Elephas maximus indicus: one gene and its partner. The protein of the gene in region 1 interacts with the protein of each later gene in a pairwise test. Links are inferred from orthologs where the notes say so. Each region holds a gene or a part of one and is shown on either strand. Other genes may lie near its edges. The genes, in order: CKM and ASB9.

Evidence for each region.
Region 2: the proteins of CKM (region 1) and ASB9 interact in binary tests that used the Homo sapiens proteins (3 or more experiments, as listed by UniProt). The two-hybrid records come from large-scale screens. The link is inferred for Elephas maximus indicus from reciprocal best matches to the Homo sapiens genes CKM and ASB9.

The regions. Positions count from the first base shown.
Region 1 is NC_064829.1:104,383,861-104,395,516, reverse strand, and holds the start of CKM (creatine kinase M-type), read right to left. Parts: upstream 4,946-11,656; 5' UTR 4,905-4,945; intron 2,213-4,904; 5' UTR 2,196-2,212; coding exon 2,003-2,195; intron 510-2,002; coding exon 355-509; intron 1-354. UniProt on the Homo sapiens protein: Reversibly catalyzes the transfer of phosphate between ATP and various phosphogens (e.g. creatine phosphate).
Region 2 is NC_064846.1:164,318,472-164,330,565, reverse strand, and holds the start of ASB9 (ankyrin repeat and SOCS box protein 9), read right to left. Parts: upstream 5,182-12,094; 5' UTR 4,938-5,181; coding exon 4,844-4,937; intron 1-4,843. UniProt on the Homo sapiens protein: Substrate-recognition component of a cullin-5-RING E3 ubiquitin-protein ligase complex (ECS complex, also named CRL5 complex), which mediates the ubiquitination and subsequent proteasomal degradation of target proteins.

The DNA of each region.
Region 1 (11,656 bases):
GAGTGCCTCTCTCCGTATCTGGTGGTCTCTCCCCATCTCTGTCAGTCTCTGCATCACTCTGGGTGTCTCTCCCCATCTCTGGTGGTCTCTGTGTCTCTTTCCCCATTTCTGTCATCTCTGTGTCTCTCTCCATATTTGGTGGTCTCTGTGTGCTGTGTCCCTCTGGGCATCTGTAGTGGTGTCTGCGTCTCTGTCTCTCCCCATCTCTGGTGGTGTCTGTGTCTCTATTGGTGTCTCTCCCCACCTCTGCCCTTCTCTGTGTCTCCCCTCCTTTCTCTGTCTCTCCCCATCTCTTTCTCCTCCCTCTCTCTCCATCTCTCCTGTAATCTCTCTCCCCACCCCTGGGCCACTAACCTTGAGGTTCTCATGGTTGAGGTCAGTCTTGTGCTTGTCGGTGGGTTTGTAGCCCCCATGCCGGTCCTGGATGATGGGGTCGAAGAGATCCTTGAAAACGGTGTAGGACTCCTCATCACCGGCCACACAGCCCACGGTCATGATGAAGGGGTGACCTGGGGAGTTGGGGTGAGGTCAGACGGGCTTGCCCCCAGCAAACAAGGCCTGATGCTTAGTTAGGGCATTGCCCAAGGCACTGGACACGCACTGACTCGTATATTTTCACAACAGCCCTACAACACAGGTGTCCAATTTTCAGGAGAGGAAACTGAGGCTCAGAGAGATTGAATAACTTTCCTGGTGCCTCACATTACAATTGTGTATGTTTACTGAGTGGTTTATCAGAGGCCAGTGTAGAGGGAGAGAAAGAAAGAGTGTGTGTGAGTGTGTGTGTATGTGTGTGTGTGTTGGGAGAGGGGGGTGTTCATTCAGGACCTGTGGATCAGGATTGAGAAGGTTGAGGGTTAGCAGTATGGAGCGGGGTGCTGGGAGGATCCAGGTGGCATCTAGGGTTGGGGAGGGTGCTGGGGCAGGGCCAAGAAGAAAGGGGAGCCTCAACGGGCCAGTTAAAAAAAAAAACAAACAGTTGCCATTGAGTCAACTCTGACTCATGGAGACTCCATGTGTGTCAGAGTAAAACTATGCTCTATAGGATTGTCGATGGCTGAATTTTTGGCGGTAGATTGCCCGGTCTTTCTTCCAAGGCACCTCTGGATAGACTCGAACCTCCAACCTTTGGGTTAGCAGCCAAGCACGTTAATAGTTTGTATCATCCAGGGGTTAGCACCTCGGAGTTTCCAAACCATGAAATCTTAGGCTAAAAATGTTGAGAATCTTGGACTATGAGCGGGTCAGGATGATGAGACTTGAAAGGAAACCCTTTTGTTTCCTAGATGGAGAACCAGAGACCTGAAGAGAGGGGGACTCTCCCCACAATCACAAGATGAGCGGGAAGTGAGACAGGACTAGAACCTTGTCTCCAACCACCACTTCCAGTCTCCTTGCGGAGTGTCCTTCTAGAAAGAGCCACAGCACTAGTAATATTGTTGAGTGCCATTGACTCATAGCTACCCTATAGGACAGAGTAGAATGGCCCCGTAGAGATTTGTAAGATTTACGGAAGCAAATTGCCAGGTCTTTTTTCCTGTGGAGCAGCTGGTGGGTTCGAACTGCTGACCTTTCAGTTAGAAGCCAAGCGCTTAACCACTGCACCACCAGAGCTCTCTTACTCTAATAATACCCCTGTCATTTTCTGAGTGCTCACTGTCTGTCAGACACTGCTCCAAGCCCTGGACACACACTGACTTATATATTTTCACAACAGCCCTACAACATGGATGCCCATTTTTCAGCTGAGAAAACTGAGGCTCAGACAGATTAAATTACTTCCTTGGGGTCTTACATTATAATTGTATACATCTATTGAGTGGTTTATCATGTGCCAGGTACTGTCTCAAGTTCTATACACGTATTAACTCACTGGTTTCTCAAGCAGCCCCATAAGGCTGGTCCCCATTTTACAGGTGAGAAAACCGAGGCCCAAGGAGGCAGAATTGGTGCTTGGAATTGATGCTACAGTGGGTCTGGAGGCATCGCCCAGGAGGCTTACCTGGGTTGTCCACACCCGTCTGGATAATATCGTCCAGGGTGAAGCCCGATGGTGTTTCCTTGTCCCTCAGCTTCTTGTAGATGTCAAAGGTCAGTGCCTTGGCCATGTGGTTGTTGTGCTTGGTGAGGTCCGGGTACTCCTCCTCAGGCTTGTAGTTCAGCTTGAACTTGTTGTGGGTGTTGCCGAATGGCATGGTGGCAGCGTGTAGGCCTGGTGGGTAGAGGAGGAACAGAAGGTTAGCCCACACCCAGCAGAGGCCAGCAACGGAACAGAGCAAGGCTTTGCAGGCAGGCCCGCCCGAGAGCAAAGCCTGACTCCTGTGCTGTGTGACTTGGAGTAAATAAGGTTCCCTCTCTGAGCCTTTGAATCTTGGCAAGAAGTATCAGAAAACCTTGGGTTAGGATTCTGGCTGTGCGACAGCCTGGCTGGGTGACCCTGGACTATAATTTTGCTAGAGATGCAGTTCCTCCAGCTGAAAAATGGGTGGGAAAACCCCCAGACTAGAGTAGTGTCATGATATGGTTAAGAGTGTGGGTTCTGGAAGCAGAGAGCATGGGTTTGAATCCTAGCTCTGCCACTTACTACTTGCTGTGTGACCTTGGGCAAGTTGCTTAACCTCTCTGCACTTCAGCTTTGTTGTTTGTCAGGTGCCTTCAAGTCGACTCCATCTCATAGCAACCTTATATACAACAGAACAAAACGTTGCCTGGGAACAACTCAAAGAATGTAATCAACGTCCCCGAATTGTACATGGAGAAATTGTTGACTTGGTGTATGTTTTGCTGAGTATGTTCTCAAAAGCAACAGGAACAAAATGGATAAAATTATTAAAAAAAAAAAAAAAAAGTTGCCCGGTCCTGCACCATTCTTCCAGCACTATATCGGACAATGTTCTGTGGCGACTCCTAGGGTTTTCATTGGCTAATTTTCGGAAGCGGATCGCCACGCCTTTCTTCTTAGTCTGTCTTAGTCTGAAAGCTCTGCTGAAACCTGTCCACTGCGGGTGACCTTTTTGGTATTTGAAACACCAGTGGCATAGCTTCCAGCATCATAGCAACACACAAGCCACCACAGTGCTACAAACTGACAGATGGGGTGTTTCAGCTTACTCATCTGTAGAATGGGGGTCATAACAGCACCCACTTCATGAGGGTGTTGTGAGAACTAAATGAGTTAATGCATAGGAAACAGTTGGAACAAGGCCGGGCACACAGTAAGCACTATTTGACCTAGTTATTATTACCGATGCTGTACTTGCGCACAATAAGCATTTTACTTATTGTTGTTGTTGTTTTAAGTCTGTGAGAGGAGCTGGTGCGATGGTGGAAGTGAGGACATTGCTGGGAATGAGTATGTGAGCAGAGAAAGGACCTTCTTGCCCCAAAGATTCTTGGATGCTCAGTGAGTGCAGGGCGGGAGGGAGGGCTGGTGGCTGCCCACTTGTGCCTGCTGACGACCGTCCTACAGGGCCCAGTTGAGAAGGAAAGTTCAGTCTCTGGTGCCAAAAGAAACCAAAAAAACCCATTGCCGTCAAGTCAATTTCAACTCATAGCGACCCTATAGGACACAGAATAGAACTGCCCCATAGGATGTTCCAAGGAGTGGTGGAGGGATTTGAACTGCCGATCTTTTGGTTAGCAGGCAAGCTCTTAACCACTGCACCACCAGCGCTTCATGCTGTCAACAGGGCTGAGTTCAAATCCCACCTATGCCATTTCCCTGCTATGTGACCCCAGGCTATTGGCTCTGCCTCTCTGAGCCTCTGTCTCCTGTGACCTTAGCCTTCCCCATGGGGTGGCTGGGAGGATCCTTCCAGCTCGGTGCTATGGGACTGAGCACAGGCCCTGGCGTGGAGTACCAGATGCCCAGTACCCAGTGAGATGGCTGCTATTATTACTTTTTGCCACCAGCCCCAGAAAGAAGGAGGGGCCCAGCTCCAGGGATGGGGAGCCAATGGGATTGTAGGAAGGATCTGGGGACCAGGTCAGAGGGTGGCGATGGGGACCTACAAAAGACCTTTGGAGTTGCTGCCCAGGGTAGGGGTTATTTTTAGAGTCTGGTAGGCTCCTCCCCCTCAGCTGCTGCCCCCCGCCCCCACATTCCTGGGGTTCGGCTTGCACCAAGTCATCAGGCCGGAGACAGGTGGGCCAGGGTGGCTGGGAGGACACGCAACCAGGCCTTGGTGCTCAAGGACATCTCGGGCTCCCAGCCCAGAGCCCCTCCCATTCAGAGGGTGTCCCCACCCCATCCCTGCCAGGGACACCCCTGGGACACGGTATTGAGGCCAGGTGGGTGACCCCAAGTGAAACAAGTAGACACAGCCTCAGAGCCACACACACATCACAGCCAAGGACAGCCACTCACCATGGACACTCCAAACCACACTGTAAACAGTCATACGGTCACACCTGCAGGCACAGGGACATACCCAGGATACAGGCATCCATGCAGGACCCACAGAAAGGCAGACACAAGGTCACAGAGACCCACACGGCTGCAAATGCAAAGACACTCCCACACCTGCTCTTGCAGACCACGACAGGTGACAAACAGACACCCCACATGGCTTGTGGTACCTAGTCCTGGTGACAAACCCTAATGAACACAGGCCCAGCCCCATAGCTCCTTGTGGTGGGTAACAGCTGGAAGCTGTCAAAACCCCTTTCTTTTCTGGGATCCTGCCCCCTAAACCCATGCCACAGGGACACAAGACATAACAGGGGGTCAGGTGGGCTTCTAGGTGGAGGGGACGCCCAAACTCACAAGGTCACTTCCCACACTCAGACAACCTTGTGGACAAGAGGACAGGCAGGGTAGACACAAGAGGCCCCTTTAGCTCAGCCTCTAGTGCACATGGGGCCCCCACTCTGGACCCCACCCCAACTCCCACCCTAGATGGTACCTGGCTAGGCTGTGCTGAAGGGGCTGTCTGTATCCTCTGCAGCGACACTGACCCAAAGGCAGGTTCTGCAGCCCTGGCCTTATATAGGGGGGGTCTGGGCTGTGCTATTGGCTGAGAGGCGCTGCCCCCAGGGAGGAGGCTGGAGGGCAGCTGAGTCTCTCAGCTCCCTGCCTGGGCACTGTGCCCACCCTGAACCCAGGCGTGCCTTGCGCCCAGCCCCATGGCCTTGTATGGGCCGCCCCAAGGGCCAGTTCAGCTCCCCCCTCTAGCTGATCCTCTGACCAAGTGCTGAGTCGGGCTGGCGGGGACAGCTGGCCCCCTGCCGGGGACATGGGATGGCGATAGGGCACATAGAAGCCTCCCTCCCCTGGCCCACGGGACCTGCCCCTTCTGAGCTCCACTATTCCTGGGCCAAGGCCAGTCTCCAGCCCCTTCCTCTGCCAGGCCTCTCTGCAGCCCGCAAACCCCTTGGCCCAGGCAAGTGGCAAATACTGAGCCCTCATCTTTTTTTTCATCAACCTGCACCGTGTTAAAAAACCCTGCAGCAATGACCTCAGGAAGCCCAGACATTCCGTTTTGCAGAGAAAGAAACAAATTCTGAGAGGTAGTGTGGCTTGTCCGCTGCCACTCAGCTAGGGGGCGTGTGACCAAAGCCGGGACTGAAACCCAGGGCAGTCTGATCCCCGAGACCTGTGCTTACATGCTCCTTCCTAGTAGGTGTGGAAGTGAGAGGGAAACTGAGGCACGCTGAGCAGGGGAGATTCAAACTCAGGGCCCTCCCCACTGCCCCCATCCTGGGAGATTTCCGTCATTAAGATACGGCCGAGGGGACAGGAGGGACTCGGCCGGCCCCGGAAGGGAGTTATTTTTAGAGTGCGCTTCCCGGTCTCCTCTAGGAAGGCCGAGCCCCCGAGGCTCAGGGATGGGGGGGCGTGGGGGAGGCAGGTGTTGGGGGGGGGGTCGCCACGTGTCCGGGTTAATTATAACCGGGCAGCTCGGGTGTCCCGCACGTCGCCTCCTTACAAGGGCAGCCACGGCCCTGGGCAGCGGCTCCTACCCCCGGGAAGGGGGCTGGGCGGCGACGCGGTTCAGAGCGCGGGCATCGGACTCGCACAGACCCGGCGTCGCGGGAGCGCTCGGCGCCTCAAATGTGACCCAAGGAGCACAAGGGCTGGGGAGGGGGTTCTGCGGTAGGTGGAGGCAGCATAGAGGAAGCTGCTTCCTCTGCCTGCGAGGCGCCGGGATTGCAAGACAGAAGGGGCCGCCTCCTCCAGTAAACGCCCAGGATTGCAACGGAGAACAGCATGTTGCCTCCCTTCCAAGGGTCTCCACCTTTTCTGATGTCTCCTGGGTCTCCCCCATTTCTTCTCAAGCAGATGAAGACTGGCTTAGGGCAAGGGGGCCACCCTGCCTTTCCCAGATTCCTGGTTTGGGGTTGGTGCACGGAGGGCTTAAAAAGCTTTTCCTTGGGCCCAGCCACTGACCTCTCCACCCATCGGCCCCTTCCCCTCAAGGTCACCTTGGCAAAGGTCTAATTCCCGGTTAGGGAAACTGAGGCCCACAGAACTTAAAAAAAAAAAAAGGCCAAAAATCTTTTTGCATTTATCATTTCAACAATTATTTATTGAACACTTGCTGGGAACATTCCCTGAGTGGTGCAAATGGTTAATGTGTTCAGCTGCTAATCAAAATGCTGGAAGTTTGAGTCCACCCAGAGGTGCCTCGGAAGAAAGGCCTGGCGGTCTGCTTCCAAAAAATCAGCCATTGAAAACCTTATGGAGTACAGTTCTACTCTGACACACATGGGGTCGCCATGAGTCAGGTCGCCAGGAGTCAGAGTCGGTTCTACAGCAACTGGCGTGTATGTGTGTACTGGGGACACAGCAGGAACTAAACAAAACTCCTGCCATCATGGAGGGAATGTTTTAGTGACATGGAACAAGTAAATATGTACTGTAATGTCAGGGGGCAAGTAGGGCTTTGAAGGACAATAAGAAAGGATAATGGAATGAGAGTGATGGTGCAGCAGCAGCTATTTTAGAAAAGGAGGTCAGGGCAGGCCTCTCTGAGGAGGTGACACCTGAACACAGACCTGAAGGAAAGGAGGGAGCTGGAGGCAGTGTCTGGGGGCGGGGGGAACAGCAGGTGCAAAGGCCCTGAGGTGGAAGGTGGCTGGCAGGCCTGAAAGACAATGAAGAAGCCAGGTGGTTGGGCAGAGCGGAGAATGAGAGGAAGAAGACCAGGCTGAAGAGGGGCCAGGAACAGACCCATTGGGTCCCGGGGGCCACGGGGAGGAGTTCAGATTCCACTGTGCATGGGATGGGAGCCACTGAGGGTTGTGAGCCAGGGAAAGACCTGAGCTCCCTGAGCCCCTGATGACCCTGTGTGGTGGCATTTAACATACATTTTCGCCACACAGCGTCAGAAGCCCTTTCTGTTTTTGAAGAATTCCCCACCCTATGACCACCTCCTCTGGAGAAGCTGAAAACGTCAGAAACTCGGTTTCCCAGAATCCCTTGAAGCACTAGTTTAGTCACGTGATCTAAGCTGAGCCAATCAGACGCATTAGCAGGACCCTGAGCTGTGAGGCTGCTTTACCTTGTTTGAATGGCAGTTTGGGAGCATCATGAATTATGAATCATGGTCCATGATCCCCGTCATATGTTTTCATCCCGCCCACTCAGAGCCTGTCTGCAAGGCCTGTCCGTTCCTCCTCTGCCTCCCCACGACCCCACCTGGCTCAAGTCCCGCCTCCCCCCCTCCCCCACAGCTCCTCCTCAGTCTTGCAACCTCCCATACACCCCCTACCTGACCTGTCCCTCCCCTGCTCAGAACCTGCCAGGGCTCCCCAGTGCCCTCAGGGCAAATGAGTTTTTGTTAACTAAGTAAATAATACAGTGAAACCTGTGAGAGCTGGAACTCAATGGGGCTGCCTTTTTTTTTGCGGGTTTCGCCAGTTGTCTGCTTTTGACAGGGTGCAGTCTTACCACTTTTCTATCACTCTCTATTAGTGGAAAATATTTGAATTTTTCTTCTTTGATAGATTTCCGCGTTACAGTTTCCGGCTTTTGCAGGTTTTACCGTAATAGCCATGTCCATCAATTGCAGGCATCAAACTATTTCTACCTAGCTTAAACGGATGGGGATTTACTACCAGATACTCGACAGCAGTGGGTTGTGGGTTATTAGATACTTACAAAATATTGGAAGGGCTGAAGGAGGGGGTTCTAGGCTGGGCCTCCAGGAACACCTCTCGCCTCCAGAACCATGCTACCGGTGGGAAATCTCATGTTTAGCTTTCCGGCTTTTTCATCAACAGAAGGTTGAAGGAGGTTGGCGTGAATGTTCAGTGGCCACTCCACAGGCTCCTCCACCCTCCTTTTTATCAAGCACTTCCTATATGTCAAGCCCTCTGCTGAGAGCTTTTCATATATATTAACTCATATAATCTTCCCAACAAGAAGGCTCAGAGAAGTTGATTGACTTGTTCAAGGACACACAGCTGGGAAGGGGGAGAGCTGGGAGTCAAATTGGCACAGGGCGTTGAGTGTGGGTTCAGGCCCTAGTGAAAAAAAAATTTTTTTGAAGGTCTCCTAGAAAGGTCATAGGCTATATTGTCAGCTCAGGATTCCTTCCCAGGTCATCAGGCCCTGGTAATGTTTACCCACTTTCCCATGTCCCCACCATTGCCCCAGCCATCTGATGTCAGGGTACAACCACTTCATGTGTATTGGCTAATTTAATTATCCAAAGTCCTATGAGATTTTTACAAATCAGGAGAATGAAACATGGCCCAGAGAGGTTGAGTCACTAGCCCAAGTCAAACACCTGGCAAGTAGCAGACTGCCTGGACCAGACTGTCTGGACCAGGCAGTCAGACCCTGAGTTTGTATTCCTAACCTTTTCCTGATTCCACTTCTTCATGCTGAAGCCCCATTTTACAGAAGATGGTTGCTGAGGCTGAGAAAGGGCAAGAGAGTTGCCCAAGGTCTCATAGCCAGTATGTCTAGAAATCTAAAAAGTGAACTCTTCCTACCACCATCTGGCAAACTCCCACCCCACCCTGGCATTGCAGAGCAGCCCTTCGCCCAAGCCCTCTTTTTCCTAGGATGTCCCTTGTTCCTGTCCCTCCGCTGGGGATGGGAGACCCTGGGAGGACAGCACTCACTACTCCTGTAATGACCTCCCCTTCCATTCCTCAGATCCCTCTCCCAATCCTGGCCATCTATGATGCCATGCAGTTCAGGAAGACAGGTTGTAAATCAAGGCCAGCCCCAGACCTGGAGAGTTGAGGGCCTGCCCACCACTCCTTCGTGTCCCCCAAGAGCAAAGCCAGACCTGCTACAGCCCTGTAATCTGCTGAACAGAGTTGGGCCCAATATGAGGAGGAGGGTGGCAAGCCAACAAGTCTTTCATGCCTGCTCCTCCCCCAGCCCTCCAAATCAGTTTACTATCCATTTTCCTCTAGGTGCTGCTTTAGCTGCACCCCACCAACTGTTTGTTTGCTTGCGTTCTATTATCATTTCAGTTTTATTCTTTACATTGGAAATCTTATTCTTCAGTAAATCTGGGATGTTTGGATGGCCTCATTTATTATTTCTTGAATTTATTCTTTCATTTCTGTATAACTTATAGTCAGTGAAGTGCCCTAACCTTAATCCTGATGAACTTTTATATATGTGTACACTTGAGTAACCACCACCAAAATCAAGATGTTGGTCTTCCAGCACCCCTAAAAACTCTCATGCCCCCTTCCAGTTGATGTCCCCTCTCCCCTCCACAGTAACACTACCCTGAATTCCAACACCAATTACTGAGTTTCAATTATTGGTATCATCCAATTATTGACATTGTTGAATATATCAATCGTTGAATTTGATATAAGTAGAATCATTCTCGTTAAAGACCCTCAACGAGGTAGACTGACACAGCGGCTACAACAATGAACTCAAGCATAACAACGATTGTAAGGATGGAGCAGAACAGGGCAGTGTTTTGTTCTGTTGTGCATAGGGTCTCTATGAGTCAGAACCGACTCGATGGCAGCTAACAACAACAGCAGAATCGTACAGAATGTCTTGTCTTGTGTCTGATTTATTTTTCTCAACATTATGTCTCTTGAGATTCATTCATATTGTCACATGTAGCAATAGATCACTCTTTAACAGATTTGTTATGTAGTAGTTTCATTATAGATCTGTTCTAAATATTTTCTATTTCTGTTATGATTTCTTCTTTGCCCTAAGAATCACTTTTTTGAAAGAGTATTTTTATTGATACATGATGAGACATTCACTGATGGAATACTATGCAACTGCTAAAAAAAATAAAGTTAATCTACATACATATACTGTGGGGCATTGGTCGTTCAGTGGTAGAATTCTCGCCTTCCATGCAGGAGACCCAGGTTTGATTCCTGGCCAACACACTTCACACGCAGCCACCACCTGTCTGTCAGTGGAGGCTTGTGTGTTACTAATATGTTGAACGTGTTTCAGCGATGCTTCCAGACTAAGACAGACTAGGAAGAAAGGCCTGGCAACCTACTTCTGAAAATCAGTCAGTGAAAACTCTACAGATCACAATGGTCCAATCTGCAATCAGTCATAGGGATGGCACAGGACCAGGCAGCATTTTGTTCCATTGTTCATAGGATTTCCATGAGTCAGGGGCCGACTTGACAGCATCTAACAAAAACAACAACAACAACATATGCTTATTTGGAATGATTGCCAAGATACATTTCTAAGTAATGCCATATTGGCATTTGACAGTGTGGATCATATCAAATTATGGATAACATTGCGGAGAATGGGAATTCCAGAACACTTAATTGTGCCGATGAGGAACCTGTACACAGATCAAGAGGCAGTCATTTGAACAGAAAAAGGGATACTGTGTGGTTTAAAGTCAGGAAAGGTGTGTGTCAGGGTTGTATCCTTTCACTATAGCTATTCAGTCTGTATGCTGAGCAAATAATCCGAGAAGGTGGACAATATGAAGAGGAACTGGGCATCAGGACTGGAGGAAGACTCATTAACAACCTGCATCATGCAGATGACACAACCTTGCTTGCTGAAAGTGAAAAGGACTTGAAGTACTTACTGATGAAGATCAAAGACCACCGCCTTCATTCAGAATGGATTACACCTCAACGCAAAGAAAACAAAAATCCTCACAACTGGACCAATAAGCAACATCGTAATAAATGGAGAAAAAACTAAAGTTGTCAAGGATTTTATTTTATTTTACTTGGATCCACAATCAACACCCATGGAAGCAGCAGTCAAGAAATCGAAAGATGCATTGCTTTGGGCAAATCTGCTGCAAAAGACCTCTCTAAAGTGTTAAAAATCAAAGATGTTGAAGACTAAGGTGCACCTGACCCAAGCCATGATGTTTTCAATTGCTGCATGTACATGCAAAGCTGGACAATGAATAAAGAAGACCAAAGAAGAATTGATCCCTTCGAATTGTGGTGTTGGAGAAGAATGTTGGCTATACCATGGAGTGTCAAAAGAAAGAACAAATCTGTCTTGAAAGAAGTACAGCCAGAATGCTCCTTAGCAGAAAGGGCCACATAAATCAGAGTACATCAGCCTGAGACCAGAAGAACTAGATGGTGCCCGGCTACAACTGATCACTGCCCTGACAGGGAACACAACAGAGAACCCCTGAGGGAGCAAGAGAGCAGTGGGATGCAAACCTCAAAGTCTCGCAAAAAGACCAGAATTAATGGTCTGACTGAGACT
Region 2 (12,094 bases), on another chromosome or scaffold:
ATGCCTGTGCTCCTGCACGAAAGAAAAACTCAGGCCTTTGTGAAGTTACAGTCCATCTCAAATTGACACAAGGACTTTCTCCTCAGCAGGCCTTGCAACAACTGAGTGCTTATGTAAATTCTTAAAATTGTGACAGTGGGTACAGGTTGATAGTCTTCTATCATTCAGTGAGCATAGATTGCATGTGTGTGTGTGTGTGTGAAATTTAGTGAACATCATAGCGTGCAATATGGATGAGTCCACACACTGTCTCTTCAGCCCTTGAAATCACTGAAGAGAGAGTCGAGAAGTGCACCTGGGGTGAACCATGGAGGGTCTGGCCTGGCCCGATAGGGAGAGGCTTCTCCAGAGCCCACACCCCAGCAGGCAATGAGCTCCAGGCCCTAGCTGCCCACAGTTAAACCCAGGAGCAGCTCCACCTGTCTTCCTACTCACTGACAGCTGGAGAGGCCAGAATTAGCCAGAAAGAGAGCCTGTTCCTGGCAGAACATGGCCGGTGCTCATAGTAGGAGACTATTTGATGGATGAAGGGGACTCTCAAGGTCACCATCCCCTTTTCTGTTGGCCCCACCGAAGTCTTTGAAACTCGAAGACCATTATCTTTATACAAGATGTGTTCTCCAAATCCTGAGCCCATGCTGCAGGTTCTTCCACAACACTTGTTCAGCCAGGGTCTGTTGCTTTTGCTGCCAAAAAGTAGACACCAAATGGGGTCACTGGCAGCACCATGGATCCTGTGGTAGAACTTCTGGTTAAAATGGGGTTGGGGACTCTCGGAAGGAAACTATTCCCCAAGTCCCCCGATTTAGCTCCATTAAACTCACCTTTCATTTAGAAGACTTTTCAACTGTGTATCCATCAAACCCTGCAGCACATTAGAAAGGCTGCCATTTCATTTTTATTGCAATTTCTGGAATGAATTTTAAATTTTCCATTATTTCAGAAGTGATTTAAAATGCAGCAATAGGTACATTTCAAAGAGAGCTATTAACGAAGCTCTGAGAGCCCCCCTCATGCTGGGCAGTAGCATCAGTCTCCCAGAGCATGCTGGGAAACATCTTGCAAGGTCAGGGACAGGAACAAGAGGCTGGGCTGCTCTGGGGGCAGGAGCGTTTGCCTTTGGTCCTTTGGTGTTGATAAGGGTGGCTTCAGTGGCACGCACCAACACTGGGGAAGTTCTGGGGTTGGTGATTACAGGGGACCTTGGTCTGATTCCAGGACAAATGAGAAAAGGAGAAATAGAGGTAAACGGAAAGGCCCACTGAGGCATGGCCTCATTAACTCTTGGGCAAGGAGGTCTACCATACAGCTCTCTCCCTCCCTCCCCCTCTCTCTTATAAGGCGCTGCTTTCTTCATAGGAACCTCGCCTCATCGCCCATCCTATCTGATCAGTAAGGTTTTCCTCCAGAAAAGTTGCCCCTGCTGAGATGTCCAACGCCTAAAAATCTACCACAAGAGAAGAAAGTTTTCCCCTTTCGCTGTCTATTCCTGCCTGTCTTCTGTTTAAATGTGAAAACTCTACAGCGTGGGCTCAATTTTTTGAGGAAAAAATTATCTCCACAGGAGCGTAGGTAGAAACATGAAGGACAGACACTGAAAGTGGGAAGAGTGATTACCTGGTCTCCGGGATTATGGGTGGTCGTTTATTCTTCAAAGTGTTTTCCAAAATTTCTGAGTAGGTATTTCCCGGGGTGGGGTGGGGGCATCTTTTTCCTGCTCCTGGGGTAGGAGCTGAACATTAAACAAGCCTCTACGGAGAGTTGGTTGCCCAGCTTCATATCCTTTCCTCCCAAGAGGGAGGCGGAGAAAAGCCTGCCTGCACCCCCGTCTCTGTTTTCCCTCAACTTCCCCCATGTTTTTCCAGGGATATGCTTCACCTGAGCTGAGTTTCTCGGCAGGGCCATTTGGAAACAGCATTCCGAGTGCTCCACATTCCACACTTCACCAAGGTCAAGACTTGAGAAACAAATAAACGTCATCCGGCTATGATTAAGCCTTGGTCCAAGGGGCAGGGCCAGCACCAAACAGGGAGAGAATCCCCTGGGTAAGGAGAAGGAGCAAGTCTGGGAAGGCTTCAAGGGGGCAGTGACTCTGTCTTAGTCTGGAAGCTCGGCTGAAATCTGTTGAGAATCATAGCAACACGCAGAAGGTACAGGTGATGGCTGTGCGTGGAATGTGTTGGCCGGGAACTGAACCCAGCTCTCCCGCATGGAAGGCAAGAATTCTACCATGGAGCCATCCTGGGGCATTTCAGCGTCAGAGTCTCTTCTTGCTTCTCTGGTCCTCTGTTCTCCACTGGAGGCCTGTCTCGGGCTCCATCCTTGGCCCTCAGCTCTTGGCCATCAGACAATTCTCCTTCTCCAGGGTTTCAATCACAGCCCCCTCCCGAACATCCTCAAGTCTCCGACTCCTGGCCTGTATTTGTTCCCGAGCCTTAGTTCCTCGTGTTCATGTTGTCCATTGGGCATCGTCACTGTCACTTTTGTGTTCAAAACAGAACTTCTTACGCCACCACCCCCCCCACTCTGCTCCCAAGCCAACTCCCCTTCCCAACTTCTCTCTTATCTAGCCCCCTTATCTGACATTAGTTTAGTCTGGAAAACTTTACAGTCTTGGCTGTCTTTAGCCCGAATAGTTAATCAAGCACCATAGCCTGATTGTTCTTTCCTTTGAAATAACACTCATATTTTCCCTTTCTCTGTCGGTTTCCATAGCAGGATCCAAGTCTAAGCTTCATGCGGTGGTTCTCAAAGTGTGGGCGCCAGACCAACACCAGCAGCATCACTTGGGAGCTTGTTACAAATACAGATTCCCAGGCTCTGCCCCAGTCCCTCAATTGCGTCAGAATCTTTGTGGGGGGCACGGCCATCTGCATTTTTACATACCCTCCAGGTGAGCCTGATGCTCTTGCCAAGTCTGAACCAGTGGCTTCGTGTAAGGATACCCTGTGAGCCCTCCACGGTCCATCCTGAGTGTGGCTAACACACTAATTGACATACTGTTATATATTCTGTTTACTGCTAGGTCTGCTCCATAACCATGAATGGCTCCCAATTCCCTGCCTCATGAGGGCTAAACTCCCCCACCTAGCTCTTAAAGCTGCATGATCAGGCTCCGTCTCTCCAAACGTGTCCTCAGTGGACCCCCTAAGACACTCTGCATTCTAGTGGTGACAGTGTCTTCACTTACCAAGTCCCATGCCCTCTAGTATGATGCCTGTCCACCCTCACTCACCCACGCCACCCCGTCCAGGGTTGGATTCGGACCTTTACAGACCCTAAACAGTGAAAAGGGGCTTAGAAATAAAAATAAACATAATACTTAGCGGTAAAATAATCCCGTGGAGGTCAACCAAATTACTGATTCTTTCCCATAATGGTTGATTTGCTGCTTTAAAAATATATTTATCAAGTTCTTTCTTAAAAAAGTGCTTTTTCGGTGCCACCCTGCTTTCTTTATGGCCCAAGTTCATGCTCAATGTTATCAACCGATTGATCCAGTTCTGCTTCTGTGGGTCCAAATCCTATTCACTGTTGAGTGTTCTGCTCATTTTAGGAGTAAAACTGAATAAATAAATGAATGAATGAGCAGCCTCACTCATTCAATTAGTCAGAAGGAAGGTGTTTTATATTTATTTCTTGTTTGCCCTTTCAGCACCGCGAAGTAGGTGATTAATTTTTTTTTTTAGTGTTGTAGTTGATGGCAGAGTCCCTGGTTATTGCCAGTCCAATTGTCAGGTGTTGTGGGCAGCCTACCAGGATGCTGAACATAATAATCCCTACTCCACTAACTGCCTAGAGGTCCCTGGGCAGTGCAAACAGTTTGTGCTCGACCGCTAACCTAAAGGTTGGCAGTTCGAAACCAACAAAATGGTGCCACAGAAGAAAGGCCTGGCGATTTGCCTGCATAAAGATTACAGCCAAGAAAATCCTATGGGGCAGTTCTACTCTGTCACATTGGATCGCCAGGAGTCAGAATCAACTTGACAGCGCACAACAACATACAGGAGCAAAAGGAGCCCTGGTGGTGCAATGGTTAGGCGCTCAGCTGCTAATTGAAAGGTTGGTGGTTCAAATCCACCCAGTGGCTCCATGGGGAAAGACCTGGGAATCTGCTCCCATAAAGATTACAGCCTAGAAAACCCTATGGAGCAGTTCTACTCTGTCACGTGTGGTCACTATGAGTTGGCATTGACTTGATGGCAACAGGTTTGGGATTTTTTTTTTTGGTTCTATTGCCTAGACCTAGTTTTCAGAGTCCTCTTAGCCAGCACGTACCTGTTGGCAGGCATGTGACAGTCCCAGAGGCATGGGACTCTGTGCATTTGCAAAGGCACCACTCCATACAAAGGCACCACTCCAAAAAAAAAAAAAATTTTTTTATGAAGGTAAGAATTATACCTGTAAGTCACTTCTCCAAAGTTAAAAAAAAAAATCCCCTTTTAAAATGAATCAACCAGGGTGCAATGTTTGAACACCAATTATAAACCCAGCCCCACCTAAATGCCAAATCCCTCCAACCTCTTAATAGGAGAACTGTCGTAGCAGTGAAAGCTTTCCTAATTGTAAGCAGTTTCGTAAACCTCCGATTTAATACGTGATGCATTTGACCCATTAAGAGTGGCTCCTCGGAGCTGAAGTTTCAGCTGGAGAAAAATCTGTGAAAACTGAATGTTTATCTTCTATAGTACTCTGCGGATATAGGTGTCCACATTTTGAACAACCATGTAAAGGACATGTATCACCTGGCTGTGGACATCCACCCAGTAACTGCCACTGAAGTCACCCCAGCCCCTTTCTCCCAAGCCCATTAGCCAGCCTCCCCAGTGCCCTTGTAACTCACCCCCCATCAGTGGGTTTGAAAGGAGCCTGGTGTCAGGAAGGGGCTCTGGCCCCAGGGACTTGCTGTCGTTTCTGCTGCCTCCTTCACCATCCATTGCGCTCTCCTGGGCTGGGCAAGCTCTAAGCTCCACTTCAGTTGCTCAGGAAAGTCCAAATTCCACACACCCCCTCCCCCGGGAAGTTGCAGCTCTCGGTGGCTGTCTGAGCAGCAGTCACACGTCCTGGCCAGACGTCTGCAACAGGAGCAGTCCAGGCAGCAGTAACCGGAGTCGTACCTGTGGTCAGACACACACAGACACTCACACACTCACACGCACACTCGCGCTTCACCTAGCTGGCTGGAGGCTAGCCAAAGCTCAAAACAGCCCATAGCCCCAAGTCTTGCTGATGTCACGTCCTTTCCAAAACTGAGACCAATCAGTGAGGAAGCCTTGAAGTTTATCAGGAAAGAAACTCACAGTTTGTAACTTTGGAGACTGAAGAGAACAGGGTGGGGATGACGGCAACAGCTCACTGGCTGCCACTTTGTCCCCCACTTCCCAGCTGAGACTCGTTGTTTTTTTGCAGGCTCAGGGGCTGAGAAGTCCAGGGTCTATGCCACAGCCCTGCTGACTGGCTCACCCGGGAATATTCACAGCCCCACCATCTCCTCGCACATGTGGTTTCAATTTTGCTGGGAGTTCCTTATGAGAAAATGTGTCTATATGTTACGAAAATGCACATTTCGAAAGAACTTTTATTTTCTTCCTTCCATCTGCAAAGTTTTCATTAAACGTTGCCCTTTACCCTTCCTCCACCCACAGGCTTTATTTTAACTTCTGAATAAATAATTAACGGTTGCTTTTGGGAAAATGGGTTGCTGAGTGGCCTGGGGTGAGGGCTGGGTGGGGGTGGAGGGGAGGGGGAGGGGGGAGCAGCCATCTTTCCCTTAACTGTTAATTTTCAAAGTTTACTTTGTCAAGGTTTCATAGGTTTGCCTTTACAAACTCTTTGGGTTTTCTGTAGATCTGTCTTTTCAGATGGGCCCAGTGTCATGGCACTCCGGGTGCTGGTTTGGGCTGATGCCTCCCAACAGACCCCCTCTGTTCCTGTCTTCCAGGTGAAGGGGATTCTTGGGTGGGGGGAGGCTCCCAGTTCCTCTCCAGGCTAGTCTGGCTGTGAAATGATTGCTGATTTTTTTAAAGCCAAGACTGTAGCCTCATTGTTTCAGATCTAAGAATCCCAGTTGGGGCACTTGGTAACCAGTGTTAACTAAGAAGTGTCCTTTGTCTTTTAAAAAGCATTCTCCTGCAGATATGTATGGAGCCCTGGTGGTGCAGTGGTTAACAGCCTGGCTGCTAACCCAAAGGTCAGCAGTTTGTATCCTCCAGCCACTCCTTGGAAACCCTATGGCACAGTTCTACTCTGTCCTGTAGACTCGCTGTGAGTCAGAATTGATTGATGACAACAGGTTTGGTTTGGGGGTTTGGTTGCAGACATGTATACACATTTATCCTTTTCCATTTTCACATCAATGTAAATATACTATCATGTTCTACGCTTTTCACACTTATTATATCTTGGAGAACATTCCATTTCAATGCTCCTTTTATTCGCGACTACATGGCATTCCATATTCCTTGTTATTCCCTTAATGATAGAGGCAGAAGGTTTCCATTGTTTTACTACTACAAAGGCACTGAAGTCCATATTTTTGTGCACATATAAAATATTTCTGGAGGAGAGCTTCTTAAGAGCGGAAAAGTTGAGTCAAAGGAATGCTCGTACATGCGTGATATAGACCTAAAGACACATGCACAGGAGTACAAGTAAAACTGGGGGAACTGCAGTAAGATCAGTGTATTGTATCCATGGCAATTTCCTGGCTGTGATATTGTGCTAGAGTTCTGCAGAATGCTACCACTGGGGGAAATTGGACAAAGTGTAAACGAGATCTCTCTGTATTATTTATTATGACTGCATGTGAATCTACAATTACTCAATAAAATTCCATTAAACAAAGATGCTCCTTTAAAATTAGGATCCGAGACCATACCAAACGAGTTACCATCAAGTAACCCATTGTGACTGCATGTATCAGAGTAGAATAGGATTTTCAAGACTGTGACGTTTCAAATCGCCAGGCCTTTCTTCCAAGGCACCTCTGGTTGTATTCGAACCACCAACCTTTCGGCTAGTAGTGGAGTGCTTAGTCATTTGCAAGAGGTGAAATGTGTGCCCCTATATAGACATTTTGCACCAAATGGAAAAAGTTAATACAAACTCTGTAGTCAAAGAACATGAGTATAGATAAAGGCCCATACGGCCCAGTCTGTTCGAACACTGTTGTCATTCCTCATAAACCCAGCGACCTCGTGTCCCAGAGCCAAGGCCTAATTGGAAACACTGTTCTCATTGTACAATAAGGCAGGGTGATATTTCGGTCATCATACTGATTTTGAAAAAAAGATTGCACTGAAATATTATTTATCTCGATGGCTGAGTTTTTGGTGCCCCCTTAAATTTTGTATCTGATGTGAGTGTCTGGCTTGCCCCACCCTAATCCCAGGCCTCGGGGAGAAGAATCATGATGTCTGCAACATACTTGCAAATGGTTCAGTAAAACAAAAACATGTGTGTGTACTAATCATACAAATTATGTGTGATTTATATATAAAAAATATATATTATATAGGTTGTGTGCATACATACATACCTAATACATCTATGTTGTTTATATTATTAAGGAACTGTTTCTCCCAAACTCTCCTTCCCTATATTTCTAAAATAGCCATGTCAAGTAAACATGAGGTCTATAAATGATTCTTTTTTTTTAGTAACAATGCTCATTGCTGAGAAGATTGTATGCACTTATCACGACAGAGAAGACATAATGTATATACGTACATACAAAAAACCAAACCCATTGCCATCAAGTCAATTCTGACTCATGGTGACCCCACAGGTCAGAGTATAATTGCCCCGCAGGGTTTCCAAGGAGTGGCTGGTGGATTCAACTGCTGACCTTTTGTTTAGCAGCCGAGTTTAGCAGCCGAGCTCTTAACCACTGCATAAACACACATATGTAGAGAGAAAAGCAAATGTGGCAAAATGCTAACAATTGAGGTGGTGGGCAAAGAGGTGTTCGTTGTATTATTCTTGCAACTTTTCTGTAAGCTTGAAATTTTTCAAGATATAACATAGTGAGGGAAGGAAAGTTAATAAGTGAAAAAAAGTGACGTACATTTTTTACAGATTAAACTCATGTTAAAAAAAAACAGTTGCTGTCGAGTCGATTCGGACTCACAGCACCCCCATGTGTGTCAGAGTAGAACTGCGCTCCATAAGGTTTTCAATGGTTGATTTTTCAGAAGTAGATCTCCAGGCCTTTCTTCAGAGGCACTTCTGGGTGGATTCAACCTCCAACCTTTCGGTTAGCAGTGGGGTGTGTTAGCCGTTTGCCCTACCCAGGGACTTCCATGTTAAATAGGAAGCTGCTACTTCAAGTGTAATCCGTGCATCCCTCCTGGTGCAGGGAAGAAGGTGATGAAGTCCATATGCAAATGTCCCTGCAACCGTGACCTTGGCAATGATCTGTGATGATCTGCGATGCACCCTCCCCTGACGTACTGGGGCGGGCGGGCCTGGAAGAGTTTAAAGCCCATTAGGTGGGGCGGGGAAGGCAGGCAGGGAGGAAGGCTTAATGTCAGGCAATGTTGGTGCTGATGAGTATGGCATTCTTAAGTAGAATGAATGTATATCAAAATAGCACCGACAAGTAAGCACAGTTAATATCTGTTGAATGTGTTTTGATCAAAGATTCTATAGAAGAATCTCAATTAAAGGGGGGGAAATGCACAACAGAATTTCAGATTCTCCTGGAATCCAGACTTTCTGGAGCAATTGAGGCCAGATGAACCCCTGAAACTACTGCCCTGAGACAATTTTTAAACCTTAAAGAAGGAAAGCATCCAAATTCCTGAATGCTCTATGAAAGGAAGAGACTCTTCTACTCTTTCTTTTTGATCTTTCCATGGTTAACAATGGCTCACCTGACTTCTTGGTTGTTGCAAATCCATCCTTTATCTCAATCCATTTTCCATCTTAAACATTTTTCTTATGGCTATTTATTCCTATGTCCCCCGTTGTAAATTTCCAATTCATTTCCCTTGCTATTTTTTTTTTAATTCATGAGCCTATATTACTCTTTATATATTGAAATGTGGCTGTCAGCTGAGATCACTCTGCCTTGGGGCAGACCGAATCATACCCCCTTCCATGGATTTTGGACTAGCCTGTGCCTTCCCCACGATTTGTGAAATTTGTCTTCCCTAAGATTTTAAAGAGCAGCTCAGGAAGACAAAGTAAAGTGTTATAATGACATGAGCAAAGGGCTGGAGATAGAAAACCAAAAGGGAAGAACGCTCTCGGCATTTCTGAAGCTGAAAGAACTGAAGAGAAAATTCAAGCCTCAAGTTGTAGTAGTGAAGGATTCTATAGGGAAAATATTAAACTACACAGGAAGCATCAAAAAAGATGGAAGGAATACACACAGTCACTATACCAAAAAGAATTGGTCGATGTTCAACCATTTCCAGAAGTAGCATATGACCAAGAACCAATGGTACTGAAGGAAGAAGTCCAAGCTGCTCTGAAGGCATTGCCGAAAAACAAGGCTCCAAGAATTGACAAAGTATCAATTGAGATGTTGCAACAAACAGAGGCAGCACTGGAAGTGCTCACTCCTCTATGCCAAGAAATTTGGAAGTCAGCTACCTGGCCAACTGATTGCAAGAGACCCATATTTATGCCTATTCCCAAGAAAGGTGATCCAACTGAATGCAGAAATTATCAAACAATATCATTAATATCACGTGCAAGTAAAATTTTGCTGAAGATCATTCAAAAGCGGCTGCAGCAGTATATTGACAGGGAACTGCCAGAAACTCAAGCTGGATTCAGAGGAGGACGTGGAACCAGGGATATCTTCCTGATGTCAGATGGTTCCTGGCTGAAAGCAGAGAATACCAGAAAGATGTTTACCTGTGTTTTATTGACTATGCAAAGGCATTCAACTGTGTGGTTCATAACAAATTAGGGATAACATTGTGAGGAATGGGAATTCCAGAACACTTCATTGTGCTCATGAGGAACCTGTGCATAGATCAAGAGGCAGTCATTCAAACAGAACAAGGGGATACTGCGTGGTTTGAAGTCAGGAAAGGTGCATGTCAGGGTTGTATCCTTTCACCTGTATGCTGAGCAAATAATCTCAGAAGCTGGGCTCTACGAAGAAGAATGGGGCATCAAGACTGGAAGAAGACTCATTAACAACCTGCATTATGCAGATGACACAACCTTGCTTGCTGAAAGTGAAGAGGACTTGAAGCACTTACTGATGAAGATCAAAGACCACACCCTTCAGTATGGATTACACCTCAACTTAAAGAAAACAAAAATCCTCACAACTGGGCCAATAAGCAACATTATGATAAACAGAGAAAAGATTGAAGTTGTCAAGGATTTCCTTTTACTTGGATCCACAATCAACAGCCATGGAAGCCGCAGTCAGGAAATCAAAAGACACATTGTATTGGGCAAATCTGCTGCAAAGGACCTTTTTCAAGTGTTGAGGAGCAAAGATGTCACCTTGAAGACTAAGGTGCACCTGACCCAACCCATGGTGTTTTCAGTCGCTTCATATTGCATGCAAAAGCTAGAGAATGAATAAGGAAGACCTAAGAAGAACTGAGGCTTTTGAATTGTAGTGTTGGCGAAGAATATTGAGTATACCATTGACTGCCAAAAGAATGAACAAATCTGTCTTGGAAAAAGTACAGCCAGAATGCTCATTAGAAGCAAGGATGGTGAGACTAAGTCTCACAGACTTTGGACATGTTGTCAGGAGGGATCAGTCCCTGGAGAAGGACATCATGCTTGGTAAAGTAAAAGGTCAGTGAAAAAGAGGAAGACCCTCAAGAGGGATTGACACAGCGGCTGCAACAATGGGCTCAAGCATAACAATGATTGTGAGGATGGCACAGGACATGGCTGTGTTTCATTCTGTCATACATGGGGCATTATGAGTCGGAACCAACTCAACGGCACCTAACAACAACATGATTTGTGAAACTTCTTCAGGAGTTTGTCTTTCTGGTCATATCTCTCATAGAAGAAGAGGTACTGTCCCACCTGAAACAGGGAAGTTTAAGTATTGTTTTGCCACCATGTAATGCATTCAATAAGGAGCCCTGGTGGTACAATGGTTAAGTGCTTGGCTGCTAACCAAAGGTCAGTGGTTCGAACCCACAAGCTGCTCCATGGGAGAAAAGACCTGGTGATCTGCTCCTGTAATGATTACAGCCTAGGAAGCCCTATGGGGCAGCTCTGCTTTCTCCTGTAGGGTCACTCTGAGTCAGAGTCATCTCAACAGCAATGAGTTAATGCAGCCAATATACTATAGCATGTAGATGCAGAGGAATAATCTAGACTTCTTCCTCAATATCTTGTAAAAATAATGCACAAAGCACTTGTATATGTTTCAGACTTTACTGGAGGTTTGGGCAATTTCAACAATTTGCGAGCAGTAACTCGAACAACTGGAAGCAGATCACCAGGCCTTTCTTCTGAGGTGCCTCTGGATGGACTCAGACCAATCTCTTGATTAGTGGTGCTTAACTTTTTGCACCACACATCGACTTTGTTCGTTACGAGAGATCCCAAATAATCACTTTCCTGTCTCCACTGGAGGAGCCTCTCTGAGGGAGAAAGATGTGGCAGTCTGCTTCTATAAAGATTACAGCCTTGGATACTTGTTTGGTACCAAAAGAGTGGGGTGCTGCTCTAACAGATAACTACAATGTGGAAGCCGTTTTGAAGTTGAGTAATGGATAGAGGCTGGAAGAGTTTTAAAGTGCCTAGTGGTACAGTGGTTAAAGTGATTGACTGCTAACTGAAAGGTCAGTGGTTTGAGACCACCAGCAGCTCTGTGGGAGAAAGATGTGGCAGTCTGCTTCTGTAGAGATTTACAGTCTTGGAAACCCTATGGGGTCGCTATGAGTTGGAATCGACTCAGCGGCAGTGAATTATTAGTAAAAGCCTAGATTGCCTTGAAGAGACTGTTGATGGAATTATTGACATCAAAGACAATTCTGGTGAGGGCTCAGAAGGAAGTGAAGAGAGCTGTAACACCAGAGATGGCGCAGATGGTGAGAAGCAGCAGCAGATAAATGGCAGCAGCAGAACCAGGAGACCAGTGTGAGTTGGCACTGGA